4 linked regions of the Drosophila melanogaster genome follow. The protein of the gene in region 2 interacts with the protein of the main gene of each other region in a pairwise test. Each region holds a gene or a part of one and is shown on either strand. Other genes may lie near its edges.

Region 1 (5,028 bases), on a different chromosome or scaffold from region 2:
AATAATACTAATACTAATAGTTTGATGGGAAAATTAAGTCTTTTATAAGTCATTAAATTTGAAAGAAAGACGCCAAAACTATCCACAGTTAAATTGAAGTTAGTATATTTGTATAAGTATGTTATGATAGTTTATAATGGTAAGTTATGATAGGTAACTCTTTGAATGAATATTGGTTTAAGCGAAGTTAGGATTGGTACTTTGTAGGTCCAAGCCCCATATTAATATTTCAATAGCTTAAAGTTTCTACCACTACACCAGGGATTGTGTTACATTTTAGCTGACAAACCGAAGGGAGGCCGAGTCAATTAATCTTATCAAGTGAACTCTGTAAGATTTCCCTAGCAATTGCCTAGGTTGAGGTCCAACCAAATGCAACCCGATGAAGCACCCAGTCACTGAGGTCCAGAAAAACCGCACCCACCATCTCAGCCGCACTGTTGATTGCACTAATTGGCGATGAGCGTGACCATCGGACGATGGACATCGAGATCGACTGCTGGACAGCGATGATGATGGCGATGTGGATGGAGATGGGGATGGGGATGAGGAGCTGGCTGAGACAATGAGACAAGATTTTCATTCATAAAACACTCGCTGAGTGGACCGGAAGTTCTTATTTGATTGCGAATTGTGATAGGTTGCATGGTAGGGTAAATTGGAGCATATAATGTGAACTAGTTAATAGTTAAAGATAAAGATGGTATTTTAATGATTATTAAAGTTATATTTTAACTTGTTTTTATTGGTTATATTATAATTATATAATTATAATTATTATTATATAATAATAAGTAGTTAACTTATTATTATAAGCATGAATACAAATATTTATATTCTATTTGTATCGAATGCAAAAGAGTATACTTGCTTCCGGCTTCCAGAAATATCATTTCTTACTATGCCAGTTGTGTCGCCCAAGTTCAGTGGTGTTAATTAAAGCACAAGCCTTAATTATGGTTATTTATTTGTTTTTCCCGTCATAGGGGAAGTATTTCCGCCAGGAGCGAACTAACGCCGCTGTCTTCCTGCTCACTTTTTTGGGATCGCATTTCCTTTGGCCCCTCGAGTTCAGGGTTCAAATGCAGGCAGAAATATGCAAATTCAGGGCGCTTGCGTGGAGCGATAAAAACAAATCGAAAAGCGAACCCACTGCTTGCTAACCGATTTCCACTTCAATTTCGAGCCGGGTCATAAACATGCCCGGCGTATTGGAGAAGTTCTTGGCCACTAGGCAGCGGGAATGGGCATGGGAATGGGTCACGAGCTTGGCGGAGCAAGCTAAATGCTTGTTAAAGGGCGGGTTCGCAATTGTTGCCGTTTTGCGGGCAATGCGGTTGGTTCGTGGCCAAACCACAAAAACAAATCAACCGGAGAGTGGAGCGATGCGAAGGCAGCACGGCAATTGGCAAATTCGATTTGCAATTTTTGCACCGGCGCCGGAGGATTCGCGAAAGAAGTGCCAAAACGGCTGAGCTGCTGGGTTGAGCAAACAATTTAGAATGAAGTGCAATCGGGAGTCAGGAGAGTTGATTTGCAATTTCATGGCAGCGGCAATTTGCACCTCATCATCATCATTATGTACAGCCAGATATTTTGCGCCGGGTGATGATCTTTCAATCGTTCAATCAGGCGGCGCAGCGAGGCGAGGCACGTGCAGGTTGCAACCCGGCAATGGGTAACAGCTAACCCCTAACTCGTAATCCCTATCCACATCCCCATCTCCAGCTCCCCCCCAAAAAATAAAAAAAGAGAAGACAACGATCCTCAGGATGTCCCACATATTTCTCGCTATCTCCCGACAGAAACAAACTATTCGTATCATTTTGGAATTTCTGGCCTGGCTGGGCTGCAGTGGCTGCAGCTGGGCCCAAGAAACCAGGAAGTCTGCCTGCAACAAGTTGCCGCTGCAGCAATGAGAAAAATTTCGCTAGATAAATAATGCATATCTCACGCACTAGCCTCGCGGACCAAAGTTGAAATAAGGCTCTATTGTACACAGGGAGAAAAAGCCGTGTATGCAAGATGTGCTAAAGTTTCAAAAGGGTTTATTTAAATACACATCTTAAAGATAAGGCATTAAAAAAGGTCACTTAATTGGACTGAGTATCATTTAAGAACTGTAGCCTACCAACTTTGGTGACATTTCTCCCGGTGCAACTGCAGCCGCTGCCTTTGGCCGTTTAATGAAGGCCTAGATCCGCTGCCCGGCCATAATAAGCAATGGCCAACAATGAAATCTTTGGCTCCAGCCCAGGCCAATTTATGCGATGGCTTGCAGTCTCTGGCTTTCTGCCTGCTTTTTATTTGGCTTCTCGTGGCTGCGTGTTTCGATTTGGCGCGATTGCTTGGCTTAATTTAAGCCCTGAGCCGTAGAGATTCATTAATGTTTGATTTTGGCTGCTTTTCTATTTACCTTTTCCCAAGATCAAGCGAGATTTACGCCAAATTGCCAGTGCCCGGAGCCTGGGCGAAGCACTCCTTAATCTACCCACTCCTCTCCTCACTCCTCCACAGACTTTTAGTTTGGCCGTTTTCGATGCCGCCGTGATAGACAGTAAAGGCCAACTGCGAAATTGGTTCATTAAATGCAACTGTTTGTTTAGTGGCAGCGAAGAAGCCAGCTTGGGATTAGGATCAATGCTCCAGTTTTGGGCTCCCACGATATACGATATACGATATATGTACTTTCTCATTTCGTGTAAATGTTTTGGAAACAAAGGGGATTCATATATATCTATTATATAGCATAATCTTATCTTTCTAAGGTATCTTTGTTGGGTATATTGATAAGCTACATTTGTTGTAAGTTAATGAGTCTGATAATATGTGTTTAAACTATTAATTCAAATTGATCATATAAGTTCATATCGTATTGTTAAAAAGAGGGTTGATTATTGAGCTAAGTTCCAAGCAGTTTCTAAAATGTGACAGCCGTACGATCAAGCTGCCTGCTTAATTAGTAGTCCGCATCAACAAATTGCACCCACATGCTATTAATAATTCGATAATGGCCAGGAAAAGTCGCGTGGATTGGGAAATTACAGTGGGCCACAAGTTTTCAGCGGAACCACGCGATGCGCTGACCGCACAAAAGAGTGCGGGAAACTTCCAAAACAGGCGTAACATTTGCTCCGCTTATTAATGGCATTATTTATGACTTTTTGAGCCCCGAAACTAATGTGACTAAGCAACAATTAGGCATTTGTTAATGGAATTATGGTCAAAATGCAATTGGCCGCACTTTGTTATTGTTTGGTACAAACATATGATTCTAGACTTGCGTACTCACTAACATTTACATAGCACCAAATAGTTCAGCGATTCGTGCACTTTTCACAATTCCTCACAGCTCACAGTTTAAGCTCATAGTTAAATAATAATTCGTCAATTTCCACTTGCTAGCGTTGCAATTTTTGTTTATTTTTGCAATAAGTAAGACCGTTTGCAGGTAAGCTTAAAAGCCCACCTGAAATACCGCAGCCAAAAAGATACCAAACAGCTGTTTGACGCACAGTGGCTTGAAAGTATGTATTTAGTTAAGCAAATATATAAAAATAAGTTTTTAATATAAATAAATTTCAAGCGAACAAGTAGCAACAGCCAAATAACCAAATTAATTTAAAGAAATTTTCTTTTGTGTAAAGTGCGTTTATAATTGATTTTGAATAATAGATTTGAAAGTAATAAATAACAACAGCTCTGTTATAATATAAGGGACAAATACCGCTGAATATATGGGTTAAAGCACTTCTACATAGCCTGCACCAGCATTAGAAGGTCTTCCTTTAAGTAGTTTATATCCGTTTGCAAAGGAGCGGGTGTATCATTGGCGCTAAACAGCAGCAGAGTGTTCGGAATGAGTCTGAAATGAAGGAAATCATGTAGTGTTGTACCTAAAGAAAACATTATTGCATCACTCACTTGCAGTCATATAGTGTCTTTTCCAAGTCCTCATCGCCCAGTTTGCCATCGCTGTTGGACACCAAGCTAAAATCCAGGCTTTCGTCCGCCAGGCAAGATTGGACAAACTCGAACACATCGGATATTTTTTCGTACACATTGAAAGTGCCCTGAAAATGATTCGGCTTATTACATAAAATTACTTCAGATGACATCATCGCGGAATGGCTTACTTGTATAAAGAGTCCATTGGGAAATTTAACCCTGACTAAAGCGTATCGATACATGCGCAAATTGCGCTGCTCCTCGCGTTCCCGCATCGCCTTTGTCCGCAGCATCTGTGACTGGGCAATGGCCTCGGATCGCAGCTGTTGCTCTTTCTTGATCTCCTCCGGCGACAGGCGATAAAACTCGTCGGGGAGGGCGACACGACATGCCTGCGATGGAAGTAGGACCTTAATGTTGCGATCCAGCTCCAGGGGAATAATCTCCGAGCTCTTGAGAGCTTCCACTAGTGTGGGCAAGTCGAGATCCTTCTCCGTCTGCTCCTTGGTCCACAAAAGGAAGGGTTCGCCATCGATCTGGACCTCGTTGAAGCCCGCTGCTTGCAGAACATCCAGGGCACCCTCCACGTAGCGCACCTTTTCGCTGAAGATTTTGTTGGACATCCGTATCTTGCAGAACTTCTCCTCCTCGGGATTCTTGATAAGATTCTCCAGATATCGGATTAGCGTGGCAATGCACTCGTCGGCCTTCTCCTTAACATTGCAATTGTGGATGATCAGGCAGGCGGTGAGGCCGCGATCTGCCTCCAGCTGCTGGTAGAGGAACTCTTTGATGCGAACCTTCCACACGCTCTTGGGTAGAATCTCCTCGCTGATTAGGGGGCAGCGGAAGAAGACGCCTTCGCAGGCCAGGTTGCGAGTGTCGCCGCCGGAAGCCGATGTGGATGTGCTGGTCGTTGATGGCGTGCCCATGGCTTCCTCTCTCTGGCGACGCTCTGCCTCCAGCTCTCTTTTAGCCTGTGCCTTCACTGCCGACAGCGAGGTATTGAATTCCCTGGATGTTTTCTTGTCAATGCGCGCCAGTGCCGCACTGGCAGCTGCCCTGGCCTCGTTACTTATT
Region 2 (3,892 bases):
TCCAAGTGTTGGGGGCGCCGAAAAGGACGCAAGGATGTTCTTCAGTTTTTAATTTAATATCGGGTGATGCGTGAATTGGAGCGGAAAATATTCCTAGTTTGCTTAGCCTGAGCTAAATTCTTGCAAAATGATTAAATCCCTGTATCCTTGTGTCTAATGCCTGTAAATTGATAAGTCACATTGAAAACAAATATTTGATTTAATGACAGGCCTGAATGCATTCACAGCTCCGATTTCAAATTGTGAAACCTTTGCAAATTACCCTCGGCTGACCAGTTATTCATGGTTGTTTATTTTTTGTGGCCTATGCGAAAACCAAACAATAAATCGAAACTCTATTTGATTAATTTTAAAGAAGAAACTCAGCCAAGGGCATAACTGAATTAAAGAGCAAATTCACATGGCGTTTCTGGTCATTGTTCACTGCGTAAACATTTGTAAATTTGCTCTTTTTCAGGTGTATACACGGTGCAAACAAAACTCGACTGAACGGCTAAAAAATGGTCATAAAATAGCATTTGACAAATGACGCACTTCCTGTCAACGCACACAATCACAAACGCATACAATCACACACGCACACATTTATCCCTTATCGGTAACTTGTAAAAAGAGGTCGAAACAATTGCATTGCTTTTAAACATGAATCTGCTCACATAGTTACACAGTTTAACAATATAATAATTCATTGTTTGAATTTATTTATGAGCGCAGCTCAAATATTTAATATGCACAAACGGCAGTTTGTTTAAATGTAATTTAGTGGAATAATTAAACAAATGCGGATTTTATTCAAAACTATTTAGTTGCTGTCCGATTGACTAACCTTTTTGTAAACGAGATCCTATTAAAATTTAACAAGTAATCATAAAATACATTTTCTTACAGTTCTTACGCCAGCCATCCAATTTGTTAGCTCACTAACTTTGCAGCGAAATTATAAAAAAGGCTTTAATTGCATAATTAAATTTATTGGCTGTACAATTTTCCATAAGGTAATTTTATCAGTTTTGCAGAGAATAATTGCAAAATTAAATGAGCTAATTAAACCATTTCCAAGTGGAATAAAAAGGCTCATTTACTTTGCAATTGGATCAGTTTTAGCAACCCAGACTTAAATCCGTTTTCAACAGATACTCGACGCGACGTTTTTCCTTAGGAGGCAGTTGAAAGAATTTTGAGACAAAGTTATTCAGTTCCCTCTTTGTATGCAGTGGGGGCCACATTGTTTTATAGCACAGGATTCTAGAAAAGCCACGAAAGTCCCGGTTAATTTATGTTATCATTTCTAACTTTTAGCTTACTTCTTCAGGAAAAACTGGTCGCAGATATTGCGTTGATTGGCAATAATGTGCTCCATTTCGTGAAGGAACTGCCTATCATATTTCGCTTTGGAGTCCAGATACCGCACATAGCAATTAAGATCGCTGGAAATAATGGTGTGTCAGGAAACCTAAGTAACTCAGCAAGTTCTTTCTTAACTGACTACTGAAAGTGCTTTATATCGTAGCTGGGATGCAAACTGGCATCGGCCTCGTCGTGGAACTTGATCCTTGGCTCATACCACTCGTCGAGCTCCTGGAGACGATGGAACTCATATCGGGAAGCAAGTCCTGACAAGGAAACCAACGAAGTGGTCTTCGTCCTAGTCAGGAATTCCTCCACTTTCTTAGCCTTCTCCTGGGCCTTGGCCACAAACTTCGCGTTGAGGCGGTGAACTGGTACATTTTTACCCCGCAGGACATCTCCCGCTGAGGGGATCGACTTAATGGTTACAAGGCTCGTCGCGGACATGTTGAAAATTTGATACTGCTCTTGGGAAACTGGAGATTTTTGAGATATATTAAATGGCTTATTTATGCGGTGACTACTTTGATTCGACAATTAACGCTTTAATAAATACGCCACATAGTTGTCACCGTCAACAACATCTGAGTCCTTGGGGAATTATTGTTTTAAGCCGCTGGTGTTTATAAATATACATGGAAACAGCCGAGAACATCATGAGGATTCATCAGACGATATATGGAAAGGGGTCAGGCTGCTGTATTTTATTTACACGGCCATTCACATTGGCATTTCAAAAATCATTCATTAATTTTTTAATTCAACAATCAGGCTGGTTCAAAGTGGCGTGGAATAAAAACCAAAAAAGGAATCTCTGTAATAATATCACATGCAATTATTGCAGGCAATATGCATGCAATTATGCTAAAGGATATCCATTGTAAAAAAAACTTTGCAAGTGAGCCCGAAATAGAGTTGCGAACTCGAAAGTTCTCAATGCGATTGGATAGCCTTTGTAATTATGATGTCCCTAAAAAAATGAAAAACTAACAGGGCCCTGTTCGAACTTTCATTGACTTATTTGTACCCTTAATAATGGTCCCTCCTAATAATCTATGAGGAGTAGTGCGACTGCTAATCTACCCACATTTGCACCCATTATCCAGGTGTGGTCGAAAATTATTCTCAAAAAGATTCCACACATTTTCGCGCCATTAAACATGCATTCGCGCATTTAATTTCATTTTTTGAACCGCCCGAGTTGACGGAACAGAGCCATCAGCCGGACCACAAGAGTGGCCCACTGAAGGGGGAATAGGAGCTGCCGCCGACAGGAGAGTTGGCCAATGTTTGCACAGCAAAAACATGGCCCAAAACGCTGGGTCTATTAAGAGCACATTTGACCAAAGTCGGGGCTCCGGCACGTGTGCAATGAAAACAAACGAGCCCATTATTGTTACACTTTTCTTTGGCAACCGGCCGCAGAGACCATTAATGATGTGTTATGGCCTCAAGAGGCCGGCCTAGCCGATCCTTGAACTTTGGCCAGGCAGAGCCTGTGAATTGAACTCTAATTGCAGATAATGAATTGCTCGCATTAGGTCAACGAACAGTCGTCCGGATTGCCGCAAAGTGCCTAATGGAAATGCAATGAACTATTTATGGGCATAAGTAGCCAGCAATTGGCTGACTGAAGTTTGATCACGCACTGGGATTATTAATGCCGAGACAGGTCGACTTCCCTTTAAAGTGCTCATCTCATCAATTTGTGGATGTTTTCCCTTGGCCTTTTGGCCAACCGTCATTTTGGTCGCCACAAAATTGACAGCAGCTTTCCCACAGCGCGTAATGACAAAACAGTGACTAAAATGTTAACAACAAATCCAATTTATTTCACCGACCGGCCTACGAGGGACATTAATTACCAGATGGATCACGTATAAGGTATTAAATGCAAACTCAATCTGCCAATGGGGAAATGGCCAAATAACAGAGTGGTTGGTCAAATCTGGGCACACAAACTAACACAATCTGCTACTAATTCCCACAAACTGCATTTAAAGATAGCGGATTTCATTTAATAGAATGTGTTCACCGCCATTGATAATATTAATATAAATATAAATATAAACGTCATTCAGAAAAAGCGTTAAACAATAAACAATAAACATTGACAATGGTCGATGGTCAACGAGAGTGTAAACAACAAGATTTACTGCCATATGCTAGGGGATTACGGGTGTAATTGTACGCCACTTCGAAATGACATTGAACCAGACATGAAAATTGATTTTGGGCCTGATGCCGAGTCCATTACGGAAATAAGTTTGCTGAGCACTCGGACCATATTTTCAAAAACATTTGTTTATTGGGCAATTATTTTACTGGGTTGCCGGCGGACTTCGCCCCGGCAGAATGAAACAATTTCACTTATGCACAAGTATTTCATATTGTCACAAATTCATTTTCATTTCAAGCCCTCGCTCCAGTGTCCCCAAAATTCAGCAATCCAGACATAATCTCTGTCAAGCCCACACACATTTTTGCACAGATGTTTGAGCAACTCAACTGAGACTTTAGAGACTTTGCTGCTTCCTTCATTGTT
Region 3 (5,169 bases), on a different chromosome or scaffold from region 2:
GACAACGAGTACGGCGAGAGCAACGATGAGATCCTCATAATTAAGCTGCGCAAGGGGCAGGAGCTGAAGCTGCGCGCCTACGCCAAGAAGGGATTTGGCAAGGAGCACGCCAAGTGGAATCCTACCGCAGGCGTGTGCTTCGAGTATGATCCGGACAACTCCATGCGACACACTCTGTATCCCAAACCTGATGAGTGGCCAAAGAGCGAGCACACCGAACTGGAGGACGACCAGTACGAGGCGCCCTACAACTGGGAAGCCAAGCCAAACAAGTTCTTCTTCAACGTCGAATCCGCCGGTGCCCTTAAGCCTGAGAACATTGTGGTCATGGGTGTGCAGGTGCTGAAGAACAAGCTGTCAAACCTGCAGACGCAACTCAGCCACGAGTCCCAAAACGATGCATTGGCCGTTTGATTTACATATAACAAGTTTATTTTAAGTTTATAAAAGATGTTCCGCCTAATCCTTGAACAAGCTGTCTATGTTAATGCCCACGTTCGCTTCCTTTTTTCCCTTGGGAGCAGGTGGTGCTGGTGACGACGTGATTTGCTGGCTCACCACAGCCTCCTTGAAGTCGCTCAGCAGCTGGGACTTGGATTCCGAATCCTGCTCTGGCAGGCATTCCTCTGGGGTAGTCTCCAGGCGGGCCTGCTGGCGCTGCTCCGCCAAAAGATCCAGTGCGGTCTCGTAGATCCTTTGCTCATCCAGGGCTCCTTGTCCTTTCAGGTCCTGGTATATTTGGACAAATTGCTGTGACTGCGTGCTGCGCCTGTGGTCAAACAGGGATATCGTTTCCTGGGGTTTGTTTTCTTTATGCAGCTTTCTGTTGGTGTACAAGATTAGTTCAGTATTGGTATAAGCCCGACTGCAGGTGAAAAACATACGCTCGGACAACATCCTCGGCATAAAATATCTGGCGCACTGGAATCTCAGGCGCGGGTCTGTCGAATCGGGGCTCCAGTTTCGGCGGAAAGGCGGCGTACACATCGTACCAAATGGGTTTATCCTCGGTTTTCATAGCTCCACCGCGTAGGAGGCCCTGAACTCTGCAAGAGTCGGGTGTTTAAAGCTTGCACAGATATTTCGTAGGAGGGTAAATACCTGGTGAAGATTGTGCCAATCTTTTCAAGCCTACTTTGTGCCATTTTGGTAAAGTTTTAATTAATTAAATGTGTTTTTTAACAAATTACGATTACGACATGCAGTGCATGAACTTATCGGTAAGCAGCCGGTGCCTATCGATACCATCAGAGTTGCCGCTGTGAGCTTAACGGACTTATGGCTTATAAGAGCCTAGAGCGCTCCAATTGGCATTTAGACGGCAAGTGAAATATTTATTTTTTTAAATTGGTTGAATTGTAGTTACAAAGATATTGACTTAAAATCTATTCATATATATGGCACTTAATTGAAATAAATTAACTACATTATGTTACTATCGATACCAGTCCAAACAAATATAGTATTTATGTCTATTACGGTGATTTTTCTGGTTGGCGTTTTTGGTATTTCTCGTGCACTTCATAGTACAGTGCTTACTCCATAAGTGTAATATTCCGAATTAATCCCGTGATTACATGTGTGTCTGGTGTAATGAAATCACTGTACACTATCTAACCATTACTTGTAAATTAATAGTACAAAATCTTGTTAGTTAAAAATTAATCACCCACTTGAGTTGGTGGAAGTTCGCTCTGTAGAGTGACCACTGTACCTGCTCTTCATCCACAGTTTGTTGTGGAACGCCTCGCACCAACTACATACTTTTACATACTCGGCTGCGCTCGACGTAAATTCTCGCACTTTTCTGTTGGTTTCGTAGTAAATTTTCGCCTTTTCGCTGTCAAATAAAGCGCACGCATCGGGAAAAACGGAGAAAAGTGCAAAATAACTAAATATAAAGTGTATCAAATATAACTGTTAGAAAAATGCCATTTGATTGTGTACTGTAATAGCGTAAACAAAAGTGTTTTGATTGTTTGTGCAGGTGCAAAATCGATCTAGTGAACTGAAAACTGCGACTCCAAAATCGGTCGAGTTAGCGCATTTATTGCCCCGATTGTTGTTATTGGAAAATGTTGTTCGTTTGGGAAAACTGTGCCATCGCAATTTTGTAGTGTTCGTGCCTGTGTGTGTGCCGTGTGTGCGTGACGAGTGTATGTGCCAGTAAATTAAGTTAATTAAAAACTTAGCTAACTCTCGATTCCACCGCCCCCGCCATGAGTAACTACCATCCGCATTCGCATCCGCACGCGCTCTCGCATCCGCATCCGCAGCAGGTCCATAATCAGCTGCAGAATCCCCACCAGAACCAGTTGCCGCCCCCGCAACGCCATAACCATGCCGCGCCCACTGCAGCAGCCTCCGCCTCCGGAGCGCCATCATCATCAGCATCGGCATCGGCATCAGCATCTATCCTGGTGGCCCATCCTCCCCAGCCGCTCATCAGCAACTCGCTGGCCATCCGGCAGGAGATCCAGCGATTCGAGAGCGTCCACCCATCCATCTATGCCATATACGAACTGATCGATCTGCTGCCCATGGCCGATGCCCAGATAGCCCAGTCCATTCGGGACCATGTGGTCTGCATTGAAGGTAAGTCCCCCTCTATTAGTGCACCTAGTTTAATGATTATAATTAGTTACACTAGAGTTTAGCCATTGAATGGTAAAGCGGTTTCTGTAATTAGTTTTGCAATCAAAGTTTATGTTTGTCCACCTGTTTATACTGTAAATATTGCAGGCTTAACTTCCTATTAAATGGCAATAAGGAGATCAAGTGGCCTAATTGTCCAATTAGATATTGCTGAAAAGTTTATGATGTTTAGCTTAGGTTTCGAGTTATAGATTCTCATTTCCACCTGTTAATACTAAGTCTATCCAATTTGGGTCGTTACACTCTTTGTAATAAATAAATAAATGTGATTAGTATAGCATATAATGTTTATAAGATGTACGACCAAACCCGACTTAACCTGAAAGTATTTTAATGAATATATTTCAACGCTTAAGTGCTTGAAAGCAGCTGCACAAATGTTTTGCTAGAAAATAGGCTTTTAAACGTAAAATGTGTAAGTGCTAGATTCCAAATATAACAGTACTCTTATTATATATTTCGTTTGTTTTTTAATGGCTTGCAAATTTATGCACCATAACAAGGAAATGCTCTGCTTGTGAATTCGAAACTTTTGCTCAAGGGTCACTGGTTTTAATGGAGCATTCGGAGGTGTGCCCCAGAAATGATGAGCAACTAAATGTGCTATAAATTATGCAAAGACACAGTAAAGAAAAGGGTTTCAAAGTCGGAAAGTGGAGTCTATCGTGACTTTCGATGGACTGACTGGTCGTCCCATTGAGTGTGTCAAGTCGGCGGGAAGAGATGCGAATCCTTTGATTAAACATGTTTATCGCTGCAATTGTATCCACACCTTCATTGTGCCCCTTATCGCGAGCGTCTGGACTTGTGGTTGCCTTTGTTTGGAGTGCTTTATGCTAATCTTAGACCGAAAATCTATGAGGCAACATCAACCCCCGGTTGATGGCGAGGATTATTGTTGCCAAAATGCCCATTCAAGCGGATCGCAGCGGGCCCATTGAAAGTGTTGTCGCTCTGTTCATGGAAAAGAAAGAGCTTCGTTTTTTGTTTAAAACAAGCTTTTCTGCCCAATTTTCAGCATGTGTGTGTGTGTGTGTGTGTGTTTGTATGCGGGGACTGAAATTTGATGCCCTCTTCCTCTTTGTGGCAGGCAGCAAAACTGAATACTGAAAACTGAAAACCGTTCACGAAATCAAACCGAAAACCGGTTCCTGAAATGGTTTATTAGAAAATCTCTGGCAGAGGCAGCAACAACGAAAGGCTCACCAAAAATGTAAACAAAATTGTCAGAGGCAGCGGCAGCGGCAGCAACCTCATGAATACTCGAATACTCCACTCTGTGTCGTGCAAACCAGATATGTACGAAACCCGAGAATACGAGAGCGTACGATCTCGTAAACCGTTTCGCACGCGACTTTCTTATTGGCATTGACCCGCAACACGGGCACATTGGTCCAATATGTACAAATATATACATATATAACTATATCGAATACCGATTCTAATTCGCTGTCAGCGTGATGAACGATGCTTTCGTTGGACTCTGGTTGCCGTTTTCCCGTTCCAAATGCTTATTTATAGGTTTCGGTAACGGTCTCCAATAAATCGAGAAGGTCAAAAGTATCTAACGAAAATAAATAAAAGAAATTCTGTGCTATCTGTTCGTTAACCTTTTCATTTGAAATCGATTTAGAAGCTATATAGCATAAATAATCATACAGCAGCTTACTATACATAGCTTACTACTTAACAAATAAAAACGTTTATGGACAATAATCTAAAGAATCGATATAATCTCAGAACTTAATGCCCGTTTTTTTTTTTTTTTTGGTTAAGAGCTCTTGCGTTTAAAGTGCCCCCTTAATATTGTAAGCTGCTGACTCACCGAAATCAGTTCGAGTCTTAAACCACATTTAACTGCTAAGATGTCATTGAACTTTTAGCGAATCAAAGTTTAGTTACATATTTAAAAGGCACTCAAGAAAAATAATGTGTTGCTGATTATTTACGAATGAGATTTTTATTTATGTATCTTATAGAATTTGATGCTTCCTCAGCGAGATTTGTAATCCAATTAGGCCAAGGCCTTGATATTTTAGACAAAATTCAGCAACAATGGCTGCTTAAATATTTCTGTAAACTGCGTACTATTGTGTGTGTGTGGCTACATGTGCCGTCTAAAATTAGCATATGAAGCTATAAATGGGGATCCATAAACAATAGAAAGGCTGTGCATTGAGCTTCTAGTAAATTAAATCGATTACACGATATCAGCATATCAATGGCAATTTTTACTACAAATTGATAATTCCATTAAGGGGGGTGTTCGTTTGGCTGAACATAAATAACCTACCTGGAATTCTTGTTCGATTGTTCGCGGTGTTTATGCAAACACAAAGGCGTGTTGTCTGTTTGGTTTGTTTGTAAATAGCCAAGTAATAGTCGGCCCTAAAAACAACAACAACAACGGCAGTCAGTTGAAATGCCGCTGGCGGTAGTGAAAAACAAATTTCCTCTCTTATCTCAAATGGCTTGCGACTGCCCATTAAAGCGATTGCAATTAGCCCCAAACGA
Region 4 (3,852 bases), on a different chromosome or scaffold from region 2:
CCCAAGGTAGTGGGAGACGTGGTGCGGACAGAAGCGGTAGCCCTGGCTGACCAGTTCCTTGTACTCGCTGAACGACTTGCCCACCAGCCCGATCTCCTGCAAGTACTTGCCCAGCTTGTAGCAGGTGGTCTCGAACAGCTGGTCGAGCGTCTCGCCGCCCGGCTTCATCACGTTGCCAATAATCTCCTCCTGCAGCTGGTGCAGCATGTCGTACAGTGTGCGCTGCGGCTCCGTGAAAACCCCACTCGCCGGCCAGGTGCGTGTGATGTCGCTGGTGTAGCCGCCATACTCGCAGCCGGCGTCCATCAGCACGAGATCCTGCTGACCCAACAACTGGCTGTTGGCCACGTAGTGGATCACCGTGGCGTTTTTACCGGCAGCCACCACCGGCGGGTAGGCCAGGTAGCTGGCGTTGCGCATGCGGCACTTGTAGTCAATCGCGGCGAACAGATGGTGCTCCGACTGACCTGGCCGGGTCTCGGCCATCACTTCGTTGAACGAGCGTGAGGCTATGTCGCAGGTGCGCCGCATTAACTGCATCTCGTCGCGGGACTTAAGCAGGCGCATGGCTTCTAGGAAAGTGTAGGCCGGCAGCAGCGGACGCTGCTGATTGCCGCTCAATCGCAGCATGTTCTCCGCCAGGGACGGCAGGTCGGTGCTCTTCTGATCGAACCAGATGTGTGGTTTTAGGGCGCCTGCGCGCTTGGCCAGCACCGCCTCCAGCTGGGACAGCGGATGGGCCTCAGTGACTCCGAAAAGCGGCACCGCGAGCTCGGGCCCAGTGCGCGGACCATCCCACAGCTCGGCATGCGGGTCCTTGGGACGCATAAACAGCTCGGACTGCACGTTCTGGGCCTCGTCGATGGTCAGCAGTAGCACGGCGTCCGGCTCTAGGCAGCCAGTTAGGTAGTAGAAGTCCGAGTTCTGGCGGAACACGTACGGGATCTTGCCGCTCATATACTTCTTGGAGGCGGCGCCCAGAACGAGCTGTCAGAGATTCAAGTTTATATATTTTGCTTCTCTTTGTAGCCTGCAGGTCCTCACCATGTGACAAGAACTCGAGTGCCCATTGAACTCGCCGCCGAAACTGCGTGCATAGGCGCGGATGTTTTGCATCAGCTGCGAACGGCGTTCCTTGATCTCGGTCAGCTCCACGCCCGGAACCAGCTCGTCCGGCTGGATAAGATGTGGATGCGAGACGCTGGTGGGCTGTCCCAGGTTTCCCTTTTGCTGGCGCAGAATCTGAGCCACGCCACGCACCTCGGCCGCGTTTACTGTCGATTTGCTGCTGGGACTTCCTGGGGAGATCGTGGTGGACTGGCTCATCCAGCGGTGTGGCCACAGGCTGGTGGAAATGGCGGCGCTGCGGCGGACGGTGGGAGCGATCAGGCGGTCCAGGCGCCTTAGGATATTCATCGTGCTGCCGGTTCCGGTTCTTGGGTTGCCAACTAAAATCTTCACAATATTATACACATCAGAAAACGGAACTGTTAAAAACACTAACGATCCTGGATAAAAACAAAACACATGGGTTGCCAGACGATTGCTTAACAAGAGTCCCGCCGATTGACAGATGTCGATAACTATCGTTGTAAAATTATACAACTATGTGAATGTAGTTTCGCCTTACCTATAGCAGCTTTCAAAAAACGCGATTCATTTCGAATTGTGTACAACCACGGCTTATATAAGCTTATGAATCCACTCAAGTACGCCAACTTGATTGCTTTCGCCCCATAGCATTTAAATATTGCGCTGCAATCGAAAAACCTCGATAGTACCGCCGCTAAGCTTTAGAAGTAATCGACATTGGCATCCCTAACATAATAACAAAAATTTTTAACAGGATCAATAGGGGGCTTTGGAACAGTATTTTCGACTTAGACAGACACTTTGAAATCATTTGACATATCTTTAGAATGTCCATGGAGGAGGTATGTGTTGGTATAGCCCAGTTCCAATGGCCAAACACTCAATGTAATCCCGTCCTGCAGTGCTTTGTGCCCCGGCTGCCGGTGGACAGCGAGTTCATCCAGTTCCACGACTGGGCCATCAAGTATGAGAAGTCGCACATCCTGAAGAGCAGCTGCCAACTGGGCACCGCCAAGTGCTGTCCCAAGGACTCGGCCGACCGCTGCGACCTCTGCCACTACCAGCACTCCCTGCAGCTGCCCCACCTGCCCGACATGGTGTTCCACAAGAATCGGCTGGTGTTACAGCACAAGGACGGCGCCACTCTCGAGTTCTGCCCCATGGACGCGCTGGCGCTGGTGGACAATGGGAAGCAGCCGCTGGAGGTCGCTTGTGCTCAGGAGTGGCGGGAAACGCGGTGGGTACTCCCATTGAGATTGGGATATGGATCGTTCTACTGTTGTTCCTCTATAAATCGCCCAAATGATTGAATTCTATACTCCAGTAACGAGCAGACAATGGAGGAGAAGTTCAAGCCTTTCGACTGGACATTCACCTCCACCTACCAGGGCACCATGAACGAAAAAGTGCGATCGGAGACCACGAATCAGACGCTGAACAAGTTCAAGCTGATGCAGCGCGAGAACATCATCTTCTACCACGATTTAACTCTGTTCGAGGATGAGCTGCACGACCACGGAATATCGGTGATGAGCGTGCGAATCGTAAGTGCTGATAAATACAAATTATAGAGCCCTTATCGAAGAAGCCCAACTCTTTCTGGCACAGCGCGTGATGCCCTCTGGCTTCTTCATCCTTTTGCGCCACTTTCTGCGCGTGGACCACGTGCTAATCCGGATGCACGACACCCGCTTCCACCACGAGATCGAGAACGACTTTATCCTGAAAGAGTACATCCATCGGGAGGCGCCTTGCACTGAGCTTCAAAACTGTGTGGCCTTCTGGACCAACCCGGATGAAATGCAAGAATTTGTGCCCGTGAAGTCCAAGCAGTTGCACAAGCTCTTCTTTAAGTAGTCCCGATGTCCGATGCTAGATGCCAGATCCCAGATCTCTAGGTTTATGTCAGTCGTCGCATTGGTTACAACTGCTGCTATATGCGTTTATTTATTGCCAACAGTGTGCGCATGCGCAGACGACATTAAAAGCGATTTTCCTAAAAGGCACACTACGATCAAAGCTATTAACACGAATAAAATATTGGGCGGACCAGCTGCCACATCCTCGGGCCTAGGCGGATCCAAGTAGGGCTGTCAGGGCCCGCTTGTAGTCACCAGAGGTCTCCGCCTGGAAAGTAAAGAAAGGAACGTATTGAAGCGAGATCCAAGTTCTTGCTTTTTTGGCTATGCCCTCTACACTACAATTACTACTTTGCCCGAAAATACTTTTTTGGCAAGCCAATAATGAGATATCGAAAAATGCCCAAGAACCAGTTTGCTTCGGCGTTCTTAGAAATAATTTGATGGGGATTTTGGCAGCATATGTAGCGTAAAAGGAACACTTGATAACGTGGAGTAACCAAGACCAGGAATACATCCGTTTCACCAATGGCGTGGCCAATACTTACGTCCTAGGACAACACAAACACCGCAACAAATGCCGACAAGTACGTGAAGAGAAGGGGAAAGGGGTGCGTTAACCATGTGCGAAGCACTCGCGATTCTTCGAGATCCACTTACCACCACGGCGCTGTGCAGCGTACGGTTGTAGATCCGCTCGAACTCCTGCTTAATGGTCTCCAGGTCGATCTCCGAGCGGCTGACGATGATGCGGATGAGCGTGGCGTCATCGGTGCCGGCGCCATTCATGGCCTTGTACAGGCGGTTGGCGAAGAAGGCCGCCGGTGACTGGACGCACTCAACTAAAAGGTTAAGAAGTGTGTCATTTAACCAAGTGTCTGTTACAACAATTACTTATAAC

Evidence for each region.
Region 1: the proteins of CG11286 (region 2) and Ntan1 interact in a two-hybrid assay, tested with the Drosophila melanogaster proteins (one large-scale study listed by BioGRID).
Region 3: the proteins of CG11286 (region 2) and CenG1A interact in a two-hybrid assay, tested with the Drosophila melanogaster proteins (one large-scale study listed by BioGRID).
Region 4: the proteins of CG11286 (region 2) and CG9578 interact in a two-hybrid assay, tested with the Drosophila melanogaster proteins (one large-scale study listed by BioGRID).

The regions. Positions count from the first base shown.
Region 1 is NT_033778.4:18,654,784-18,659,811, forward strand, and holds the start of Ntan1 (N-terminal amidohydrolase 1), read right to left. Parts: upstream 3,440-5,028; 5' UTR 3,293-3,439; intron 1-3,292. Other genes in the region: Gint3 (GDI interacting protein 3), read right to left, coding at 3,754-3,865, 3,925-4,073, 4,137-5,028.
Region 2 is NT_033777.3:7,769,907-7,773,798, forward strand, and holds CG11286 (uncharacterized protein), read right to left. Parts: upstream 1,851-3,892; 5' UTR 1,795-1,850; coding exon 1,487-1,794; coding exon of another isoform or gene 1,486-1,486; exon of another isoform or gene 1,428-1,485; coding exon 1,305-1,427; intron 1,246-1,304; coding exon 1,101-1,245; 3' UTR 954-1,100; downstream 1-953.
Region 3 is NT_033779.5:13,833,838-13,839,006, forward strand, and holds the start of CenG1A (centaurin gamma 1A), read left to right. Parts: upstream 1-1,726; 5' UTR 1,727-2,219; coding exon 2,220-2,595; intron 2,596-5,169. Other genes in the region: Polr2C (RNA polymerase II subunit C), read left to right, coding at 1-414; mRpS23 (mitochondrial ribosomal protein S23), read right to left, coding at 460-823, 885-1,046, 1,102-1,145.
Region 4 is NC_004354.4:20,168,430-20,172,281, forward strand, and holds CG9578 (uncharacterized protein), read left to right. Parts: upstream 1-1,792; 5' UTR 1,793-1,919; coding exon 1,920-1,934; intron 1,935-1,994; coding exon 1,995-2,329; intron 2,330-2,416; coding exon 2,417-2,636; intron 2,637-2,700; coding exon 2,701-2,949; 3' UTR 2,950-3,097; downstream 3,098-3,852. Other genes in the region: CG9581 (uncharacterized protein), read right to left, coding at 1-987, 1,045-1,416; AnxB10 (annexin B10), read right to left, coding at 3,163-3,219, 3,500-3,502, 3,612-3,793.